Linked DNA regions of Schizosaccharomyces pombe. The protein of the gene in region 1 interacts with the protein of each later gene in a biochemical or structural test. Each region holds a gene or a part of one and is shown on either strand. Other genes may lie near its edges. The genes, in order: sid2, klp2, spa2 and pos1.

Evidence for each region.
Region 2: of the proteins of sid2 (region 1) and klp2, one has a biochemical effect on the other in vitro, tested with the Schizosaccharomyces pombe proteins (one study listed by BioGRID).
Region 3: of the proteins of sid2 (region 1) and spa2, one has a biochemical effect on the other in vitro, tested with the Schizosaccharomyces pombe proteins (one study listed by BioGRID).
Region 4: of the proteins of sid2 (region 1) and pos1, one has a biochemical effect on the other in vitro, tested with the Schizosaccharomyces pombe proteins (one study listed by BioGRID).

What each region holds. Positions count from the first base shown.
Region 1 is NC_003424.3:220,778-226,904, forward strand, and holds sid2 (serine/threonine protein kinase (NDR family) Sid2), read right to left. Parts: upstream 3,177-6,127; 5' UTR 3,076-3,176; coding exon 1,252-3,075; 3' UTR 917-1,251; downstream 1-916. Other genes in the region: cfh1 (chitin synthase regulatory factor-like Chr3), read right to left, coding at 1-678; dnf2 (phospholipid-transporting ATPase), read right to left, coding at 3,619-6,127. UniProt on the Schizosaccharomyces pombe protein: Part of a signaling pathway. Required for initiation of medial ring constriction and septation.
Region 2 is NC_003424.3:1,719,102-1,725,586, forward strand, and holds klp2 (kinesin-14 family minus-end directed microtubule motor Klp2), read left to right. Parts: upstream 1-2,852; 5' UTR 2,853-2,893; coding exon 2,894-2,923; exon of another isoform or gene 2,924-2,968; coding exon 2,969-5,392; 3' UTR 5,393-5,801; downstream 5,802-6,485. Other genes in the region: gamma-glutamyltranspeptidase Ggt1, read left to right, coding at 395-2,287. UniProt on the Schizosaccharomyces pombe protein: Minus end-directed microtubule (MT) motor that is involved in spindle microtubule shortening, kinetochore capture, and polarization of cytoplasmic microtubules. During mitosis, promotes spindle microtubule shortening by depolymerization.
Region 3 is NC_003424.3:3,172,272-3,178,673, reverse strand, and holds spa2 (GTPase-activating protein), read left to right. Parts: upstream 1-2,332; 5' UTR 2,333-2,614; coding exon 2,615-2,681; exon of another isoform or gene 2,682-2,767; coding exon 2,768-2,896; exon of another isoform or gene 2,897-2,944; coding exon 2,945-4,728; 3' UTR 4,729-5,051; downstream 5,052-6,402. Other genes in the region: RNA polymerase II CTD phosphatase Ssu72, read left to right, coding at 1,544-1,626, 1,676-2,186; phenylalanine--tRNA (Phe) ligase alpha subunit Frs2, read left to right, coding at 5,329-5,622, 5,817-5,906, 5,975-6,402.
Region 4 is NC_003424.3:3,512,120-3,517,282, forward strand, and holds pos1 (protein Pos1), read left to right. Parts: upstream 1-1,878; 5' UTR 1,879-1,909; coding exon 1,910-2,011; intron 2,012-2,067; coding exon 2,068-2,775; 3' UTR 2,776-3,296; downstream 3,297-5,163. Other genes in the region: vph1 (V-type ATPase V0 subunit a), read right to left, coding at 1-675, 729-829, 882-900; RhoGEF Scd1, read left to right, coding at 3,711-3,735, 3,814-5,163.

The DNA.
Region 1 (6,127 bases):
ACGCTGTACACGACTTATAGAATTAACACGTGGAGGTGCCATATATTTTCTATGAGGATCCGGTTGTCCAATCTCATCCTTTCCATCATCTAAATTGGTCATTGGCGTTGGTCGCGGAATAGAAACCAAAAAATCTTCTTTCTGCTCATGATTTATTTGTATTGGGGCATCTTGCCGATCCAACTTTAAACTAGGTGAAGGCAAAATAGGAGAAGCCTGTCTCAAATTAGTGTTCAGCTTTAACCCACGGTTAACTACACGTTTGCTTGTAGGAGCAGGTGCAGCTGGAATTTTATACTGTGGCTGTGGCTCCGGCTTGACCGGTATGGTTGCACGCGGCAATTTGTCTTTGAAGGTATCTTCACTAACAACAGGCCGGGATATTTTTTTCTTGGAGAATTTCAATGCTGAAGGTGGAGTACCCATTGTAGCGCTCATTATACTAGCCCTGTTCGCGTCAATCCTTGAAGACAGGTCCAAAACATTCGTATACACTGGTTCATGGCTCAATGTCGGATATCTCGATGTAGGACGAAATTGAAGAGTAGGGGAGGATGAAGAAGCTGTGTTACCGCTTTTTAAAAAAGCTGGGGTACCCTCTGTTCTTTTTCCATTATTCGTTGCGAATACCAACTTTTCCTTCTCATACTTCCTCCGAGAGCTATGTGAATCTTTCATTAACAGATTAATTTACGAGTGAAATAAAGAGCAAAAGGTAGACGCTTTAGGAGGAAAGCAGTAAGAAACGAGGATAATGAGGTATCGCAGTTTGATGAATGTTACAGCTCTTCTGCTGTTGCCAACAAAACGAATATCTTACAGCTCACTAAACAACAAATAATACACGAAAACAAAAATTTTCCAAAATAGTAAAAATGGTTCAAGATATTAAATTGCAGATAGTGTCTATTTCCCTATCAAGTAAATGATTTACATAATTTATCTGGTAATTGCAAGTTCTTCTATATAAATGGCGAAAGCTGAATATTGACGAATAAAATAGTGGAAGATAAATAAAAATATAATATAATATAATGAAAAAGGATACTTCCAAATAAACATCATAAAATTAAAGTGATAACTTTCGCAAATTGTAATGTAAATGCCGTTCGAAAGTGAAATGCAATAGTAAAAGACAGTACTGTAAATGTCAAAACATCAAAAGCGAAGCTCAGTATCTTCGAAAATAGTTAATAACAGTAGATGTCTTATAAAAATACCATGAACAAGGGTCATTAAATTTCCCTTTGATTATAATAGAGTCCCGAAAGAAGGAGCAGAGAGGGGACTAGATAATGCGCTACTAGAGCTAGTAGGATGACTATTTTTTTGATGCCTAAAAGTGAAGCCGATAAAAGCATTGCGTTTAGGCTTATTAAATGTGTTAACCATATTAGCAATTGCAGCTTGTTTCTCATGAACTTCCTTATATTTAGACATATCATTTTCATTAGTGAAATCATCAAAATATCCTGCGTCAATCTCAGAATTAAGGTCGGGTACAAACGGAGGACGATATGCTGTACGAACATTTTTCCAATCAATCTTTGAGAAGTAAGGATGTTGCATGACTTGCTTAAGAGAACAAAAGCGATCCTTGGGATCAGTAATGCAGTGACATACAAAATCCCATGCATCATCTCTCCAGTTGAATTCCAAATCGCGGGGATCATCATAGTGAGGGCGTTGAAAACACTTGCGCCAATTCTTCAAGTTAGACCAGGTTTCATTAACATTGGAGCCAGAAAATGGAGGAAAACCAGAAAGACATTCATACATGATGCAGCCAAGAGACCAATAGTCTACAGAGTGGTTGTAGTTTTCACCTCGTAAAACCTCTGGGGCCATATAATCAGGAGAGCCAACTACTGAATGAGCGTATACAGGATCCTGAGATAAAAGAGTTCGAAACACTTGTCGCCTTTCCCTCATGCTCCTTTCGGGAACAACGACATTGTTGACTTCTTGAAGACGAATCTTCATACTTTCAATCTTCTTTTTGCTGATTATTCCAGAACTTAAACCAAAGTCCGTCAATTTAATATGGCCGCTAGCTCCAACCAAAAAGTTTTCTGGCTTAAGGTCACGATGGATGTAACCAAGTTGATGCAAAGCATCAATAGCTAGGAACATTTCTGTAGCATAAAACTTGGCATGATGATCCCTTAAAACACCACTGTTGCTAAGCAAAGTACGGAAATCACCACCAGGAACAAATTCCATAGCGAGATAAATGTTTGAAGTATCCTGAAAAGCATAAAGTAGACGAACTAACCATTCCGAGTTGGCTGTCGTAAGGATATCACGCTCAGTAAGAACATGCCTGATCTCATCCATTTTATGCAAAACCGATTTATTCATGATTTTCAAAGCAACAATCTCTTTGGTGTCACGCTTCCTAGCCAACCAAACAGAGCCATATCCACCTTGTCCGACTTGAGTGATGGTCTGGAAATCTCCGTGACTAATGCGTGTCCTCCTTTTCCTTAGATATACTCGTTCACGTCCATTGTATCGCTTCACTAGCTCGTCTCTTCGTGAATCAGGCTCTTTAAGCAACTGCTCTTCAAAAAGACGGGCTCTTTGCTTGCGGGTATAAAGATAATGAAGCTGCTCAAAGTAATGGTCTAAAAAGAACATTTGACAAATGGTTGCCATTCTCTTTACCTTAGGTTGGACCACTTTCTCCATTTCTTCAACTGACAAGTTCATAGATCCATTTTCCCATCTTGGTGAACCCGTTGAACTTCTATCTGACCAATGATTATTATCCTTGTAGCTCAACTCGCCAGATCTATCAAGACCACGCGGAATAGGGCTTGCAATCGGTAACTTACTAATGTGTTTTGAATGCATATGATTGTCAGGATAATTTTCCTTCGAAGATGCCACTGGGGAAAGCTTCATACTATTAAATTGATCCTCCAAATTCCTTTCTTTATCATTATTCGACAAGTTGCCGGGTTCAAAAAGACCATGTCGCTTCATATATGCATCAAATTTCTTATCTGCTTCAGAACTTAGCTGAAGTCCTAAATCACCTTCAACTGGTGACATATCATTAACACGATTCATTATTAGTTTTCTTTAAATATGTATCGTAAACATCCAACGTTTTGGTCCCCAAAAAATGCAAAACTCCTGTCAATAATAACCTTACGTGTTTTGTTTACGGCAGAGTACATTTCCATCGGAGTTAGGTATCAGCCATTTACCCTTAGCAACCAAAGTTTGATTACAGCAGTCGCTGGAAATTTCAAAACTTAAAAAACCAACCACCAAATTTACTACTTAGAACAAGATTGTTAAAAAGTCTGTTTTTATTATTTATCATACAAATGTAAACTAGATATAGTAAATTTATCTCGTTATTTTTAAAATGTACTGTGAATGCAAAATACATTTTAAATTTGATGCAATCTTTTGATTTCAGAAGAAAAATGTAAACGTTCATGTATTTTATTTAGTATGCAGAGATGTTTCTATAACATCATAATCATTATTCGATAATTCATCATTCTTTAGTATGAAAAGTTATGTTCTTAAGCATAGCGTAGAAATAGAATGGGTACACAGATTATCTTGATTAGATAATTCAGCTTATTAACTTGCCATTTTTTAAGGCCGTAACGGCTGTTCAGAAGAAGAAATGGAACCACGATGAGGCATGTATTCGCCTCTGTTAAGTATTTCATCAGAGAACACAGGAGAGCCCTCCAAGAAACTTGGAGTATATGACGGGGTAAAGCTTCTTGGCATACTTGATGTGAGTGTAAGCGAATTTGTGTCCAAACGTAAAGGTTCTTTCTTGGGTGTCGCCAAACTTGACGAAGATGCGTTGAAAGGGACCTGTAAAGTAGAAGATGCCCAATCTGGAGATTGTTCGGCATTCTCAATCTCCTCTTCTTCATCCAATTCATGAAGGCGTTTAGTGCGGTAACTTTCGCGAATGATATCCACATCATATGGCCAAAATAACTTTTGCGTTGTCATAAACAAAAACTTCGGGAAAAGACAACTTACAATCGTTCCACATAAAACAGCCCAAAAATTTGGAGTTCTGAATATACGCGAAGCAGATTTATAAAATTCATATGTATAAAGGCTTTGAGAGTAGACGCCAGTCCAAAACCAAAATGTCAAACAACTGAGCGCCCATAAACCAATTGAAAACACATCCCAATTTGATTGATTCAGAATAACATACGTGTCGACAACCATAATAGTTGGCGCAGCAACGTAAACACCTAAATCTTGTACAGCCATAGTATCACGACCATTCTGAGCAGCTGTGGTCACATTGTTAATCACAAGAAAAGAGAAAAAGAAACAGATTACAGACTGATAAAACCCATCAAGCATATATCCAATAAAGATTTTCCTGGCTGAATTTAATTGCAAAATACCACGCTTGTAAAGCTGAGGGATCCGAAGCGACAAATCAGCATTAACATCTTGATCATAGACACCCATGACAATGACAGGTAACGATGAAAAAATCAAGTTAAACAGCATAACATAAGTATAATCGAAAAGGTAATTTGCGTCGAAATTGTTGTAAATCTGATACCAGAATAAAGTAAATGTCCATACAACACTCTTGTAGAAAAAGTTGTTTACCATTTCAGCAACACGATTATAATCCCAACGGCCATGAACAAGAACCAGCTTGCTCAAAAATCGGAATTGACCGATTGCATAATCCGCAGACATAGCTGCAGCACGGCCTTCTTCACCAACAATACCAACACCAATATCAGCTTTTTGAATCATTGCAACATCATTCGCACCATCTCCAATGGCTAACGTCATTACTTCAAGGCTTTCGCGTACCAATTGAACAACATCTGCTTTTTGAGCCGGACTAACACGGCAACACAAGACAGCCTTGCATCTTTTACAAAGTAGCAGAAACTTGGTTCTCATTGGACCATCTAAAACTCGTTTAAGTACTGATCCATCAATAACTAACGCATGAGAGCCAGAGGGAGTGTCATGATCCTTCTTAGCAGCTTCAAGTTCTTCAACTGATCCAGACAAACCAAAATAACGATATAAGTAGTCAGCTAAAATAACTTCCAACTCTGGTGTTGACACTTCTTGGTCCACATCAAACTTAATCATGTCCATGCCAGCGTCCAATAAATTGCAAGAAAAACCAATATTAATAGCAGTCTCCATTTTGTCTCCGGTCAGAACCCACAATTTGATACCGGCTTGAGCCAATAATGCAATTGAATCAGGTACTCCTTCTTGTAATCGATCCTCAATAGCTGTTCCACCGAGCAAAGTAAGATGAGATTCAATCAAATCGGCAACTTCCTCTATTTGCTCCTCACGGTTTTCAATTGCAGATGCGGCGATGTCATACTTTTCTTTCCATTCGTAATATTCCTCTTCAGTAAGCTCTCTTTTTGCGATACAAAGTGTTCGTAAACCTTCCAATGCAAAAATTCTGAGATGCTCAGAAGTGGTTTTACGTAATTCAACTTGTTCATTTGGTTCCAAACGTTCGAAAATAATGCTATCAGCACCTTTGCAAATAAGCACATAACGGTTATCGGGTCCTTTAACGATCACACTCATTCTCTTCCTCGCTGAGCTGAATTCAATAGTATCCATCAATTTGAATCTTTGGGTTTCTCCAAGAGCACGAGTAACCATAATGTCTCTCCGCTGGTCCAAAAAAACAAAGCCAACGTCGCGGGCGGTACCCACGAGTGCAGCTTCATCTGGCGATTGTGCTTTATAGACAATCCGGTCACCAACTCTGTCTGCAACTACGCTATGACAAAGGGCCAATGCCAAGAAAAACTCATAGCATGCAAGTGACTGTTCTTCACCAGCTTTGCCAGCAAGGTCATGAACAAACTGCGACGAGATGAACGTGAGGTTATCATCCACAAGGTATTTGTTGTCGTGCATATTTCGCATTTGAGAAATCATTTGCATTCGGTCACGTTCAATGAAACTTTGCTTTTGAAGAGTCAATTCTTCAGTATCCTTTCCCTCGCGTTTTGCCATTCCCGCCATTGCTTCGGTAAATGCCTCACCATACGCAACTCCGTTGATCGTACATTTTTTAAATTCCATAACATTTTGAGTAAGAGTACCTGTTTTATCAGAA
Region 2 (6,485 bases), 1.5 Mb from region 1:
CCAATTTGCCTCCCGCTTATTTCTCTCAACTTGCACGCACACAGCAAACTCGAGCCGTTCTCTTGAGAAGCAAGGATTTCTTCCGTTGAATTTATTTAAAGCTAACGCTATTCAATTATTGATTAGCCTTGTTGATTTCTTCATGCTAATATCGTAAAAAAAAGGTGTAGAAGTTGCGGTTGGCTTTCTTTAGTCCATTTTGGGTCATTTTTCCCCAAAAATTAAATTTGTTAAATTAGAAGTTCTTTTCATTTTCTTCATCCATACCCTCTTCTCAAAGGTTTTGTGCAAGATTCCTTAATCTTGGTAAAGGTATTTTTTTTAAATTTAATTTCATTCCATTTCATACCTTGTTTTTTTTTTTTTGGATATTTTCAGCACTTTTTAAATTGTGATGGGTATCAATACGTCTTCTGCTCAGAGTTCAGGGGCTGCTTCCATCGCTCGAAGTTCTGTAAATGTGAAGTCTGGAAATCGGCATTTATCATCTAATAAGAAATCAGCCACTTCAGCTCTAGAAGAACGGGCTTCTCGTCCCTCTATTCTTGTCACATTTCTTGTTTTGGCAGGCACAATACTTTCTTTATACATCTGGCCAATTTTATCTCCCGACCTTTTTTTTGCAAATCAACGGTGCTCCTTCAAATATAAAAACAAAGGCTCGCAGAGAGTAGTAGTTGAAGGAAAAAATGGAGTTGTGGCTACGGAGGAAGAGACATGCTCCCAAATTGGTGTTGGCATCTTGAAGGCCGGTGGAAATGCAGTGGATGCGGCTATCGCATCGGGAATTTGCATTGGAGCTGTCAATTCATTTTCAAGTGGTATTGGCGGTGGTGGATTTATGTTAATACGCCATCCAAATGGTACAGCACATTCCTTGAACTTTCGCGAGACTGCTCCAGCGGGTGCCAGCAAAAATATGTTTCATGGTAACTCTACCCTGTCACAGGTAGGTGGTCTTTCCGTTGCCGTCCCTGGTGAAATTGCTGGCTACGAGCGTGCTTGGAAAATGTATGGCTCTCTACCTTGGCATAAGTTGTTTGAACCAACCATACGTCTTATGAGAGATGGAATGCCAATGCCCAAGGAACTTGCGTCTCGCATCAGACGACCCGAGTTTTCCTATTTCAAGACTCATCCAGATTGGTCTAAAATATTTGCTCCAGAAGGTGTTTTTTTACACGTTGGAGAAAAGTTTTATCGGCCTGCTCTAGCGTCTACCCTCGAAGAAATAGCTAAGTTTGGTCCTGAAGTGTTTTACACAGGAAAAATTGCAGAAAGGCTTGTAAAGTTTGTTCAACAGCAAGGAGGTATACTAACCATGGAGGATATGGCCAATTTTTCAGTTGTTGTGGAGGAACCTATTTATGGTAACTTCTATGATCGTGAGGTTATTACTTGTGGATCCCCTTGTAGTGGAGAGGCTTTGATTTTAGGTTTAAATGTTCTTTCAAAAGTAGATTTAAGTGAAGGTACTTCTATCCTTGGTTGTGAAATGACGGATATTGGCGTGCACCATCTAATTGAAACAATGAAATGGATGTCCGCTGGACGGACTGTATTAGCAGACCCAACTTTTTACAATAATACAGATCATGTTGAACAGTTACTTTCTTTGGAATATGCTGATGAAATTCGCAATAATATTTCTAACGAGAGGACTTTTGATTTTACTCACTACAAGGCCGAATACGATTTCCCTAACGATCACGGCACTACTCATCTTTCCGTTATCGACAAAGACAATATGGCAGTCGGACTCACAGCTTCTATCAATTTGATGTTTGGTTCACAACTTTTGGAACCTGAAACGGGTATTATACTGAATGATCACATGGACGATTTTGCTTCTCCAGGAATAGTGAATGCTTTCGGTTTGAGTCCATCGCCATACAACTTTATTGCCCCTGGTAAGCGACCACAAAGCTCCGCGGTGCCTACGATTTTGGTATATAATGGTGAAGTTGAAATGGTTCTTGGTGGTAGCGGTGGCAGCCGAATCGTGACAGCTGTGTTAGACACAATTATTAAAAAATATAAATGGGGCAAGTCATTGTTAGAATCTGTTGAGAGTCCTAGATTTCATCATCAGCTAATGCCTAATATCGTCTATATCGATGAAACTGTTGAAATTGAAGTTCTTAGAGCTTTAGAAAAGTTTGGTCATATAGTGGATTTAATCCCCGTTCAATATCCTTTCAGTGAAATTCAAGCTGTTTTCCGCACCAACGGCACATTGTACGGTTTAAGTGATAGCCGAAAACAGGCTGTTGCTGCTGCCTATTAAAATTTCACTAAATTATTAAAAAAAACTCCTTAGACGCTCACAAAATTTTCCTTTATTTGTTGTTATTAATTTATCAGGTTTATTAACTTATTCTCAATCTTTATGTGCTTTTTACTGATCTTTAGCTTGTGGCTGGGATGAGAGAAAAATATTATAAAGCATAAAACGTATGAATGATCACTGTCTACATATTTGTGCACATGATGGTGATGATTGGACCTTCGTTAGTTAGATAGATTACATTCTTTCCTAGATTTAGAAAGTTTTAGCAAAACGAAGAACAATTACATTTAACTTTCGAATTTATTCTAACCGTAACATAATATATCTTCATACTTTAAACGTAAAACAGTAAAATATTTCTTTCGATGTACGAATGGCAAATATTCCTTTACTAATTAAAAATACTTTACTGTGTTAATTAATACTAAATCATTAAATTGAATTAAAGATTCACATAATATCGGATATTTGCTTTTGACCTTCGTGGTCCATGGAATACCACCATACAAATTGTTGAATAGTGAACTTTTGATTTAAGCTTATGAAACTCAACTTCTCTAACACCTTACAATACCCACATGTTTTTGGGGAAAAGGAGAAAGTATGGAAGAAGAAGGACATAAAAGTTTAACTGTAAGAACAAATTTAAGTGTAATTTATTAATTTTTTTCCTTATAGTCGCATCTACCTCAGTCCTCGAGTTCTTTGTCGCAAAGTCGAGAAATTGCTAAAGAATTTACGTCTAATATACCTCCTCCGACTATTAAAACTAATTCATCTTCATCAAATATTCTGAAACCTCGGTTATCATTGCAAAATGAAGTTAACCAACTGAAACCTGCTAAATTTCCCAGTAAGATGTTACCACCAGGAAGCTTAGCCTCGGTTAAATCTTCTAGTCTTGCAAAAAAAGCCAGGCCTTTTACCGCGTCCTCTAATCCCAGGATGCCCAAGTCTGCACATCCCATTTCAAGTCGGTCAGTGTCTGCTTCTTCTCATTTTGGTAGACCTGCCAGTGCTGTTTCATCCAGTTTAAATAGTAGCGATGATGTGAGAAGTATGTCAGATGAAAGTATGGAATCTTATAATGATGAAAAGTCTGTTAATGCCAGCGCCTTAAGGACTACAGAAGACCGGTTGAGGAGTATGGAAATGGCTTATGCTCAATTATCGGCTAAAGTTATTCCTTCACCCTCAAAAAGACCAGCTAATTACAAATTTTACGAACAGAGAATTGCTATGCTTGAAGAATCATTAGAAGTCGAGAGGAGTCGTACATCGGAGTTACAAGAACAATTTTCAGTGGCTCTGAGAGAAAAAGCTGAGGCGGAGGCTAATAAAATCGTTTCTCAAAAGGGTATGGAGAGTTTGGAGATAATGTTAAACTCAATGAAAAGTGAAAATCATCAGCGCATGGCCATGTTGGAAGAGAACCATGCTCGGGTGATGGAGACAGCTGAGCTTCAGCATCAAGCAGAATTACAGGATTTTGCTTCCAATATTGAACAAAAAGCAAATAGTTTAATCATGGAGTACAAAAATGAATTGCAGTCTGCCGAAGAACACTTTTCACACAAGATTAAAGAGCTTACTTCAGAAAATGAACTCAAAATTTCCAGACTACAAGAGGAAAAGGATTCTTTATTAAAGAAAGTTCAGGAGGGCGCTTCGCTGGCTATGCAACGTGTCCAAAATAAGCATGATCTAGAAAAAAAAAGACTGCAATCTGCAATTCAACCGCTTCAGGAAGAAAATAATTCTTTGAAACAGCAGATTGAACAATTACAAAGAGAACTTGCTTCTGAAACAGTTGTTAAGGAAAATCTGAAATCTTCGTTGGACCAACAAAGTGCCAACGTTCAGAAGCTTGAATCTACAAATCGGGCTTTAGAAAGCACTATCAAAACACTTGAAGAAGATGTTTATACTATGAAAAATAAGATTATAGAACTAGAAGGCATTTTAAAATCTGCCAATGTTGAGAGAGACGGTTTAGTTGAGAAACTCATAGCTGAGGAAACTCTGAGAAGAAAACTCCATAATACCATTCAAGAACTTAAAGGTAACATACGCGTTTTTTGTCGAGTGCGACCTCCCCTTGGCGATGGAGAATCAGCACAAATAGCTTTTCCTGATCAAAATTCCGAAGCTAGTACTATAGAGATTGTTGCTCAAGCCCCAGGGTCTTCGTTAACAGGGAACGGGATAAAACAGTATGCCTTTAATTTCGATCGTGTATTTTCCCCTGAAACGACTAATGAGGATGTATTTAATGAACTGTCACAGTTAATTCAAAGTGCTATGGACGGATATAATGTTTGTATATTCGCTTACGGTCAAACAGGTTCAGGCAAGACGCATACGATGTCTTCAAATACAGGAATGATCCCTTCATCTGTAAGAATGATATACAATCGCTCTACTTCTTTGAAAGAACGAGGTTGGGAATATCGGATGGAAGGACAATTTCTAGAAATATACAATGAAACCATTATTGACCTTTTAGCCTCCGGAAATGAAGAAGAGAAGGGAAAGAAAAAACTGGAGATATATCATGACACGAAGGCCGGAAGGACGACTATTACCAATATAACCAGCGAACCGTTAGACACACCTGAGCAGGTAACCTGGTTGTTAGATCAAGCTTCGAAGAACCGTTCTGTTGCGGCTACCAATGCTAATGAACATTCCTCAAGATCGCATTCAGTTTTTATGCTACACTTGAATGGAAGCAATTCTACGACAGGTGAAACATGCAGAAGTACGCTTAATTTGATTGATCTGGCTGGATCCGAAAGACTTTCGAGTAGCCAAAGTGTGGGTGAACGTTTGAAGGAAACGCAGGCAATCAACAAAAGTTTAAGTTGTTTAGGAGATGTAATACATGCTTTGGGAAGTGGAAAGGAAGGAACGTACATTCCGTATCGAAATTCCAAGCTGACTAATTTGTTACAATATTCGTTGGGAGGAAATAGTAAAACTCTCATGTTTGTCAATATTTCCCCACTAAAACAGCATGTTCCCGAAACATTATGCAGTTTGAGATTTGCAACAAAGGTAAATAATACTCAAATTGGCACAGCACGCAAAGTCACAAAATGAACGGAAAGCACCAACAGGATGGCTTGAGGATTGTTGTTTATAAGGAGAGCTGTCTTTTCCGTTTTTGTAAAATATACAGATCTGTTTGCTCTCTTTTGTATACTTTGAAAATAATTTTTATGGGCCTATAAAGAACCACAAGTCAGAACTATTATCGTTTTAATGGACGTATACATACAAGTAAGCGTTCATTTCCAACTCACTCTTTTTTTTTATATATTCGAATACGCTCTTTAGGTTATATGTGTTCTTTCCTTTGAATGTTTTCAAATTTTACCATTATATTTTATGTTTTCTATAATAGTATTGAGCAAATATTTTCTTTTATGACTAGACCCTAATGACATTCCAACTTACTTAGTACGGTGGTTTATAATTCGCTCAAAATGAAGTCATATCTCATAAAGTATGTTCAAAAGTATAGTTAATCTTAGAAAGTAACTGACTACAAAAATTGTTCCAAGTGACTTTTGGATGAAGCAAAGGTGAGCAATTAAATTTCACAGATGAATTACATTTAGGAGAAAAGATCAAGTATCCAAAAATATAATATTACTAGCTATTTTTTTTTTCTCAAACTTGGCAGTTCCTTTAATTCTCTCTTGATAATAAAAATATTAGAAATTCTACTACCCACTGTATATTTTATTCCTTTCGGAATGTTCTTCAGATTGACCCAAGAAATATAGAATAAGCTAAAATTAACAGATTATACTTTATTTTCTTTAATAATTGTACTAATTTCGGTTTCTTAATTGCTACTTAATCCACTTAGTGGGATTATAGGAATTTCCATAAATTTTCCACTGCCAATCTTGAATACATTTCCTTTTTTTCTCTTTCATTTGAATGCTTCTATCCCTTTTCAGTAAATACTGAGGTGGCATTTTTCTATATCTTGCCAATAGTCCAATTCTTTTCCATTTGTTTATCAAATACTGAATTATAACGAGAGCAACATTAAGCATTTTTATCATGTAACCACAGGCTTCTTAAAACGGTTTAGTACCGTATTACTGCAAACCTTCTTCGAGCTTCCTTTTCCTTCACCATCGCACCATCCCGCTTGTCCATTTTTCTCTGGCATTCGATG
Region 3 (6,402 bases), 3.0 Mb from region 1:
CTTACCGTTTATTAAGCCTGAATTGCGCGATCAGTTAACTGAAACATATGGTATATTAAAAAGGAGAAGTCTGTTTGGCGTAAAGTCCAGCGAACGAGAAAAGCTTTAGAAAAGGGGAACGAAATCACTAGATTAGGATTATACCGTGACGCTGCAAGATCATCGTCTACTTATGGGAAGAGCCGATTTGCCAGTTAGCACGTATGGTTTTTCTGACGGATTCTTTGTATATAAAACATGTGAATATGTTTCTTTTGATATAGAAATAGCATCTACGTCTTTTACTTATTGGATATGGTTTGCATGCATTATAGCAACGTAGTCCTTCTTTGCATAATATGATGTGCCTTTACATTTTCTTTTTTTTTTCTTATTTACTGACTATATTTAAGGCAAGTCACTAACTGTTTCGATTCGCAAAATTAATGAGTACTGTTGAATGTCATATTTCACTTTAAGAAGCTTACTGAGTGAACCTGATTTTTGTATTTTCTACTAACGAAAAACTGCATTAACCACACAGTAACTTTATAGCTTTTCAAGACAAAATTACATACACCGATTTTATTTAGGCTGGTCATATATTTTTCAGTATCCGCGATATCTTCAACTAAGCTAATCATTATTGTCGTAAACGTTTTACACACGATCAGACAAAATTAAAAGGTAGCTAGGGTTTTGTCTACAGTGGTACTAATTCAATAACTGAAGTTGTATCCTTTGGACAAATGCCTAAAGTCATCATTTCGCGTTGAATTAAAATTGGTTAAGTTATGCAAAATATATACTAAATCGAATTTATTGAAACAGTCACAAAGATTGAAGACCTACCCTATATAATACTCAAAACTTGGAAATCTTAAGCGATAAATGAAATGAAAGAGTATGGTATGTACGAAACTACTCTAAGTAGATCAGCTCAAAACTTAATGCTTCATACGCCAGTTTGTATGTTTGAACTTTATTCATTTTGAGATTAACAGCCAAGAATTGTTGATTGATCCAACCGCAAATTTTGTTTGACAATACAATGATTTCTCACTAATTTTATACGGCTTTTTAAAGTGCTGGCGATGAGTAGTTTTATTATTAATATTATAATAAGGAGTTTTTGAATTAGGCATAATTTTGTAAAGTTAACAATCATTAATGTAGTATGGGTAGTGGAGTATAGACGTATTTATTCAAACCCTATCTTTGAAAAATTGCTATCAGACGAATACAACGTGGAGAATTTTTATTTTTATAAAACATTTAAGATAATTAATTAAAGTAGAAATTATACTCTGCAAAGATGAGATTCATTTCAAGAGCCTCTGCTTTTGTGATGCAACATATCGATATATCGCATCGTAAAGCAGCGTGGTAATTTTGAAAGGCTGTTGCTTACAGCGTGTCATATTGTATACACTGCAAAGAACGAGTTTGGACCTTTGGCTGTATGTCTAATTTAGTAAGATAAAAATCTTGCAATAATAAAGAAAGGAAAGTAAAACCTTTTAAAGCCTTACCAACGTTAGTCAGTAAACAATAATACCAAATAATGGCTCCCAAAACCAACCTCCAGATCAGTGTAATTTGTGCTTCGAACCAAAATCGAAGTATGGAAGCTCACAACGTCTTAAAGTATGTCATTTTTGAATTTTATGAGGTAGTTTGCTAATCTCCATTGAAGGAATGCTGGATACCAAGTTGATTCGTTCGGAACAGGTTCAGCTGTACGGTTGCCGGGTCCCAGTATTGACAAACCTAACATTTATCAATTTGGGTATCCATATGATGAAATTTATAAAGAGCTCGAGGCCCAGGATTCCCGGCTATACACGGCCAATGGATTGCTTAAAATGCTTGACCGAAATCGCCGTATAAAGCGCGCTCCTTGTCGGTGGCAGGACCAAGATTCCATATACAACATTGTAATAACCTGCGAAGAAAGATGTTATGATGCCATTTGTGAGGATCTGTATCGTCGAGGTGAAACATTGAATCGACCTGTGTACTTAATAAACGTTGACATTAAAGATAACCATGAGGAGGCCAGCGTAGGTGGAAAGGCCATTCTCGATTTAGTCAACAAATTAACCGAGGCACAGGATAAATTGGAAGAGCTGTTCCCTTCTATAATGGCCGACTTTCAATCTAACCATCCTAAACTTCCTGTATTGTATACTATTCATTTTTTTTAATATCATTTATCGTTACACGTCGTTATCGAATTTAATAAAGCATGTCCTTTCTCCTAGTATATCTACAACGTTCTAAGTAATAAACACAGTAAATTGGCAAGGACGCAAAGCTGTCAGTAATATTTTTAGATAGAAGATTTCTCTTCGCACTCGTTTGCCTGTTAATGTGTTTGGCAGTACATTAGGCATTTTAAAGACTTTTTCTTTAAAAATTTAATTCACAGAAAAATTATATCAAATTAATTTAGGGTCCAGCACGTCCTTGCCCATTGTATTAGTACAACTGCCTTAAGTTAATTTACACAGTCTATCTTTTTCAAGTCAGCGTAAAAGAAAGGACATATCATTTAATTCCCTGAAAAAGATAGAAAGCTCATTTTTTCCAACTTCTTTCCTCAAATCCCTAGTCTTAAATTTGCTTTCAAACTATGCAAAGTATTATTATTCGTCAATATCGGTTTTTAGCTCGTTACTTAGAGCCTGAATTTGTTAAAGGTATGTTAAAAATTGGTTTAAAATTAAGCTGTACAATTGCTTTGACCCACGGAAACAATGTAATCACCTCTAACGCTATTTTATAGACCCAGCCCTAAGGAACGCCAATGCGAGGCCACGTGAAAAGCTTCAGCGTTTGTCTCATATTCAGTTCAGTGAACTTTTAACAGACGTTGCTGATGAACTACAGCGTAGGATCAACAATGATCCCAAAGGTATTTTGATTTACACTCTTATGAGTCTACAATTCTAACCCCTTATAGTCAGATTCTTACCTCCTGTTGATTCTTATCATCCCAAGCGGAATCATGCTCGACAAAAACTTTCTAGTCTTGCTCCTACAAGGCTTCGGGATCTTTGTATGGATGTGTTTTTTGAAGTTCAATCAAGATATAGTGGTGCTTTAAAAGAAGTTTCTTCAAATACACCACCAAACATGACTAGAGCTGCTTCTCAGCCTCCTCCTCAGGTGCAACGTTTACCTGCTTCCGCTCCCAAGCACGATCTGTATAGCAGTGCCAACGCCTCTTCCGCTTCCCTTCATCCAACTGAACAAAGAACCACAAGCTCTCCCACTATACCAAGTTATGCTAATAGAACGCATACTGATTCTCCTACTTCCTTGTCTCATCGTCTACCGAATGTTCCAGATACCAATGCTTTAAATACTGTTCAAGCAAATAATTCCTCTACCTCGTCATTGAGCCAGGGTGCTCAGACGGGAATTGATTCTTCGTCAAATTACTTGAGTAGAATTGAGATGTTGGAAAGTAGTTTGGCAAAATCGAACTCTTTGCTTGACAGCTCAAAATCTGAAATGGAGGCTTTAAAAGCCAAAAGCATTTCTGATGCTACGAAACATAAGAATGAAATCTTTCAATTGGAGGAAAAGCTTCATGAGGCATCCCATGAGGCTGAAATTTCAATAAAAAAGCTAAACGATGCTGAAAATCGAATAAAAGAGCTCGAAAACAACCCAACGCTTAGTTTTAATCCTGAGTTGGAAAAAAACCTAAAGCTAATGCAAGAATTGATTGTTGCCGAATCTTCAAAAACCCAGCACATTGTCGAATTGGAAAGCTGTATTGACTCCTTGAAGGCCGAAACGGAACGCTGGAAAAAGGTTGCTATCAACGCGAAGTCCGCAAAAATTGACGAAGATATAAGATTGTTTACCATGACTACTGTTCCAATGAAGTCTATTCGGGAACTGATTTCACCCAATGGATTTTTAGATGAACAGCTTTATATTCGTTATTTCGTTGAAATGAATGTCTTTGTGGCATCTTTAAGAAGGGATAGCCCTTCTCAGTGGATGTCTACTGCTAAGGATATTGCTTTGACTTTGGAAGCCATTGTTTCCAGTTTGCGGGAGAAGTCGCTTTTAGAAGAGCTTCCCGATTTAGGAAAAAAGGTTGATGATTTATGTTCGTTCACAAATAGTTTAATGGAGCAAGTAAGACTCGCTGTAATAAATGGTGCCTTACTTCCCATTTATCACGTCGATGCTTCTGCTTGCTCTATAAGTATCAGTCTTATGGACATTGCAAAAACCTATGGACTTACCAACACGGGAAAATCTTCTCTTTCGGTCGGAAGAAATTCACTTCATCCGGTTGACGATTTGAAGGCATTATCTGTTGCAAAAACCTTGCTTTCCGAAAAATCTAAACAATTTAGTGAGACCAATCAAAAGCTTTTGGATGCTATTAGCAGTGATAGTTCTTCGTCTACCATCCAGCAAAGAGTTCATGAAGACATCAACGTTATACGTGACACACTTTTTGATGTATCTTCACCGTTAGAACTTATGCGGGATCGTGCCGCGTACGCGGTAATTCATAACGCTCTTCAGGAAATGCGAAGATATTGCATGCAGTTAATTGAGCAAGAAGGACATGGTGAAAACTTTGGATTTACAGACAACAACTCCGTACCCCCTCTGACTGATCTCGCCTTTTCTGCGGCCAAATGCTTTAAAGATATTTTACGGGCTATCGAAGATGCGGAATTTAGCGTCCAGCGGACACAATTCTCCACCCGTTAAAGCAACAAATGTTGATATAACTAATTTGCGAAGCTACATTGGTTTTCTCCACCTTGTTTATATTCTATAATATTGTTGAATTCCGATATCAATGGTTGCTCCCACCAAACCTCTTTTTCAGCTGTATAAGCTAATCCCTCAATTTTATTTTGGCTTCAAATGATGAACTTTGTCGGGTAAATCAATGTTTACCACTAACTGGCTATACATGCCTATAATCACTCTTTGTTATTCATTTTTGTTAATTTTCTATTCTTTACCAAGTTTAATTATACTAAATCGATCAATTTTTTTAATTGACATTAAAAGAATTCTCATAAGTACGTTTTTTACTGTTTTCGTGATGTTGTTAGAGTATCGTAGCTATATCAGCGATTTCAAACAGAGATGGATAATCTGAATTAGGATGTCCCGAACATTTTCTATCTGACATAATTTGTATGCTCTTACCATATATAAATTTTAGTAGTACATAAAACATAAACTTGTCAACGACGGCTTAATGTGTAGTGCTTTGAATCCGATGCTCACCGTTTCACCGTAGCACTCGCGTATCGCCAGTTACTTTACCTACTGCCAACACACCAACAAAGCTGTAAGATGTCAAAGCTTGAAGCCCTTCAAGTTTTCCTGCTTGAAAAGCTAAACGAAAAAAATGAAATTCCAAACACCAGTCATTTGGAATTCGATGGGAAGAAGTTAGGTCCTCAAGAAGCTCAATCGGCGATTTTGTCATTAGCTGCTAAAAACATGATTGAATTTTCAAGACATGAAATTGAAATTTACAATTTGACTGCAGAGGGTGAAAACATTTGCGCAAATGGTTCTCATGAAGCCAAAGTTTATAATGAAATTTGCGCTTCTATGAGCGGTTTAAATATTGGGGAACTCAAGGTAAAGTCATTGGAATCGTAGTTGTGAACGACGAAGCATTTAAATATAATTAAGTCTAAACGCCCGGTAAATATTGTTAGTTTTTTTTTTCTAGCATTATGTTGCATTTTCGATTTTTCGCGTTTTGATGCAACACCTTTTCATATCGCTACGTCTGCCTTTTAGTTTTTTTGTACTTTTTCTAACTGATTTAGAAAAAATTGGGGAATTCGGCTGGTATTGGTCAAGGAAGAGCCTTTAAACTCGGTTGGATTAAGAAAGATGGAGACAAGCTTGTTAAAAATGTAAGGCAAAGTTATAGTAGTGCAAATTGATTTAACGTTATGCAATATTTTATTTACTAACTGACCAGACTGATTCCATTACAGATGAGACCCCTAAGGTCCTTAGTGAAATTAAGGAACATGGAACTATCTCTGACAGTAAGACGTTAACTGATTTGAAGAAGAGAAAGCTTGTTGAACGTAACAAAATTATGTACTTCTCTTTGAGGAAAGGTCCAAATTTCTCGCTTCAAATTGAAAAACTGAACACCGATTTAACTGCTGAGATGATCACCTCTCGATCATGGGAAAGTGCCAAGTTTAAATCTTACAACTTTGCAGCTGAAGGTATACCTCCAGCTGGTGGATGTCTTCATCCTTTGATGAAAGTACGTGAAGAATTCCGTAAATTTTTCTTCGAATTGGGTTTTGAAGAAATGCCAACCAACAATTTTGTTGAAAGTGGATTTTGGAACTTTGATGCTTTATTTGTCCCCCAACAACATTCAGCAAGGGA
Region 4 (5,163 bases), 3.3 Mb from region 1:
TTTGCGAATGCGTAAGAGAATTTGAGTACCGTGGGCGATAACCAAAAAGATGGTTTTTTCTTCGTTCTTTTCCGCACCATGAATTAAAGAGTCGTCAGCCCGCACTTGATGAATAAACAAATTACCACGTAAAGTTCTCCATAAAATACGTTCTAGAAATTGAAACTTCACCGTAGGAATAATACCAGAAACGAAATCTAGAGTGGTGTTCATTTGTGGACTAGTTTCTTCACTGTCAAAAGTACCAGTGGTGCCCAATTCCAGGGCGTTTTCAATTAAAGGGGCGGTGGTGTCGTCTTCACCAGAAAAGATGGAGCTAGTTTCGTAGTTGTTGCGAAGTGGATCAACCGTGTTACCACTCTTCGAAAAGAATGCATCAGCTTTTGTCAATACGTTGGCAAACTCTAACTGCTGAAGATATCGAGCCTCTAACAACTGGCTTGACTCAACCAACTGTCGTACACGAGCCTCCAGCCTAGTGATTCTTTCAATGATATCTTCGATAGTGCTGCTTTCTAAAACAGACTCATAACTAGGAGGAAGATTGTGATCTGGGACATGAATGCCATTCAAGTCGATTTCTGAGTGAAGATAGCGAAGTAGTCGCTCAGTATCAGTCAAGCGTCGAATTTCACGAACGAAGGATCGTTGAAAAGCTACAACATCAGGGTTTAACTTAAAGAGTTAGTATAAAACTTCTAAGTCTCTCTCAAAATGCAAATCCTTACATCTTTAAAATGGATAGTCGACAACTCCCCAAGTGCCGACATAATAGGTCGAGCAGACTCCGTGGGGAGGTATAACTGTACCAGGGATACCTCCTCAGATCCTAGAATGCTTATTAGTATACTTAATTTGACATATCTTTAATATTTACGTACTGAATAAAGACGGTGACATATTGGGAGTAGGTACGTAGAATGTGGTAGCAGTAGTATATACACCAACTATTTACAGTACAGCCAGTGCAATTGCGATTAGTCTATGAAACAACAGCTAAATTGTGAATTTAACTTATTTTAAGTTACGTTTTATAATAATGAAATGTTATTGAAATGAACAATGATTTTGAGTCGATAAAAATTTTCTGCTAAAATGTGCGTTAAATGTCTAGATTCGAGAGACAAATACGATGAATCTCTATCTATAAATTTGATGAAAGATATTTTACTCTCTATTTCTTAAAAAAATAAAACCATTTGTCCCCACAACTGTTTGTGAAAAAATAAAAATGAAATGCGGTAGTCTGAATGGAATTTCACAGTGTTGACTTACTGTTTGCTATAAAGTATTTAATTGATACAATCATTTCATCTCGTAGACTTTTATTTAGTGCGACGAAAAAGCATTCAGTCAAAATTAAAATGAGAAGACACTGTAGAACGAACATTGTAAGAAATTGGTTTAATGTTTTTAGAAAAAATTCTTTACCGCTTTCTTTTATTAAACAGAAACAAGATTACAGGTCTCCCTTGCTTTGGCTTTCACGGAAGTGTGTTGAATTGGATTTATAATTTAAGATCATACTTCGTGACATATACGCTGGCTATTAAGTATGCAATTAGAGCCTTAGGATTTTTTAGCTATGGTCTAAGTGATAATCAGCTTTCGTGGAAAAGTTATATTTTAATCAGAACAGTTGTCTAAGTGATCTGTGGCTGTAAAACGTTAGAAAGCCGGTTTCTCAGATAAAATACCTTAACTACAATCGAATTACTAATTACCTCAAAAAGTTTCGATTCATTTAGACTAATCTTCGTACTCATAAAATATTATTTTTACAATACATAGTTATAAACATTTGTTACTCGTTTCGCCAAGTCACAATTTCCGCTACTCATAGTAAGTACTTGGAGCTTCCATGTTTTAAGCTAGTGCCAAACGCAGTATATTTTCGACTGTAAGCGCGATGGCCTTTTCTCCAGCTAATTCCTTTTTAATTAACAAGTCGATATGTGAGAGCAAAGAAGTGGAACCTTTAGAAGCCAATTTGTTTGGCAAATTGCACAATGTATGTAAAGTTTTAAATAGAAACATTAATTCAGTGTGTTAACATGCAAAATTTAGAAATTATTAATTTGCAAAGCCAAAAAAGAAAATTTGGAAAAGAAACTGGCATATCAAATGATGTACTCGAAGCTTCTCAAATCTTTACCCAAGTTAAGCAGTCTAGAGGAGAACAAATTAACCAAACTAAAGGCTCCTATAGAGGATATGGAGAATACGAAGAAAGAGCTGGAAGAAATCAGGAAACAATCCACTGAGACAGAGTTACGTTATCTTAAGTCTCTATCGAACACTTTGAGCTTTGGTACATTATCTTTATCAAACGAGATTAACAAGGTTGGTCCTTCAGCTTCTTTTATGCTGAAGGAAGTTCATGATAGCGTACAAGTATTGGAACAACGACTTGAAAAGATGGGTCTCATCGAAAAGCCATCCGAATCTTCTGAATCCTCTATTTATTCCATCTTGGCTTCTTTAAAACATACCAACGACAGTTTACAGAAAAAAGAATTATCTCCTCATGAAATTGCCGAAAGTCCCTCTTCTCATTCGACCTCTCCAATGGGAAGAAACGTTGACACAGAAACACTGTCTTTTTTACTTATTGATTGGCAACGATTATGTGCAGAACAAAATACCTTTTTACGTGATATCACTAATAATATGAGCTCTTCTGTTCCTCAAGATGTATTATCTCAACTACGACAATTTTTCTTCCGAAGCGAGTTGTTGTCAGATAAGTTGTCAAACTTGTGCTCCGAGTCCTAGTCCTCAAATCTTTCCTATTTTCCCTTACTTATCTTTGTTCTTTCTGTCAAGCACTCACTCCTTTTACTTTAATATTTTTGTTTTCAGTCTTTTTATTAAGCCGTTACTCTCGTTATCCCTGTTTTATACTTTTAAGTCATCAGGTCCATTCGTTATCATTTTACTACTGTATTTCAATACGTTCTTAACATTAATTTTTTTAACTTTTTTGTCTCTTCTTATCAATTGAAAGGCTGAATTGGTTTATTTAGCATCGTCGTCCTTTTTAAAGACCTCACTCTTTTCTTGGACATCTACCTTTCCTACCAAATTTGTGTCTTACTAATTTTTTTTTTAATTCCCGTTCAATACATGATTTTCCTTGTTACATTACTAAAACAATCGCTCTACTTAATTTATTTACCAAATTTGCAAGCTTGCCTTTTGTAATCGTTTTAATATTGGGATGGTTGGAGATATCCCTTCATTTTTTTAGCAATGAAATTTCAGTTGCCAGCTATTTTATCGTCATAATATCTCCGTTTCAAAAGACTTAGCAGTAGGATTTTCTATCAAATGAACTGAAGAAACAAGTATATTTACCGTAATACATTTACGATACGCTATTCGATTCAACTGATCGCCAAGTGTCTCACTATTACCTTAGTACCTTGTCAACTATACATACTGTGATTTTATCAATTGCAGTAAAACAGCAACTTATTTTAGACAATTTTACTTTGGAGTCAGTTTTAATTTTTATATTTAATTCCAAAGAAACTTCAGGCTTTTTTATGTTTAAGAAATCTTGAAATTGGGTTGTTGGTTTGAATTTCCATTAATTGTTCAAGCATTGGACTACATGCGAGTACTTATACTTTTCTAGCAGTTAAAGGAAATTTTATTTTCTGTATTTTACTGCATTAGGAAGGAGTCTCGAGAAGAAGTTATCAGTTATGGCCTACTTTCAGGATCGCAAAAGTATGTAACGATTGAAAGAAATTTAGAACACAAAAACGCCATTTATGTGTATGCAATTAACTAACTAACTTCTAAAAGCATCCTCTAGGTCTCTTCCTTCTTACATCAATCACAGCACCCAAAACCTTGTAGGTCCTCGTAAAGATGAGACTAATCTGTCAGAATACATGAAACTTAGGCTTTTACAGTCTCCGTCACAAGTTATTTATAATTTAGAAAATACGGTTTCATTATACAGACGATGTCTAAATCTCCGGAAGCGATTGATGGATATATCAGAGTTGGCTGCTTTCTTTGACAGTATTCATCGTGAAGCCTTGAATAGCTCTTTCAAAATACTGGAATTTAAGGACATTGAATTTGATGATCCAGTTACGGAAATTTGGCTGTTTTGTCGTTTAGGTTATCCATTGTGTGCCCTGTTCAATTGCTTGCCAGTTAAGCAAAAATTGGAAGTTAATAGTTCGGTTTCTTTGGAAAATACGAACGTGTGTAAAGCTAGTTTATATCGTTTCATGCTCATGTGTAAAAATGAACTTGGACTCACAGACGCCGCCCTTTTTTCCATATCAGAAATTTATAAACCCTCGACAGCTCCACTTGTTAGAGCTCTTCAAACCATTGAACTTTTATTGAAAAAGTATGAAGTTTCCAATACCACAAAATCATCTTCTACTCCTAGTCCTTCTACTGATGATAATGTACCAACAGGAACTCTTAACAGCTTGATTGCATCTGGCCGTAGAGTCACTGCCGAATTATATGAAACCGAATTAAAATACATTCAAGATTTAGAATATTTGTCCAACTATATGGTCATACTTCAACAAAAACAAATTCTATCCCAGGACACTATTCTCAGTATATTTACGAATTTAAACGAGATTTTAGACTTTCAAAGACGTTTTTTGGTTGGTTTAGAGATGAATCTTTCGCTTCCTGTAGAAGAACAACGACTAGGCGCACTCTTCATTGCCTTAGAAGAGGGATTTTCTGTTTACCAAGTGTTTTGTACAAATTTTCCGAATGCTCAACAACTGATCATTGATAATCAAAATCAGTTACTGAAAGTTGCGAACCTGCTTGAGCCCTCTTATGAATTACCAGCTCTGCTGATTAAGCCTATACAGCGTATATGTAAATATCCGCTTCTCTTGAATCAATTACTAAAAGGTACTCCCTCAGGTTATCAGTACGAAGAGGAACTAAAACAAGGAATGGCTTGTGTAGTTCGTGTAGCAAACCAAGTTAATGAGACTCGTCGTATTCATGAAAACCGAAATGCCATTATTGAGCTTGAACAACGTGTGATTGATTGGAAAGGATACTCTCTTCAATACTTTGGACAACTGCTAGTTTGGGATGTTGTTAATGTATGCAAAGCCGATATAGAAAGAGAGTATCACGTTTACCTTTTTGAAAAAATTT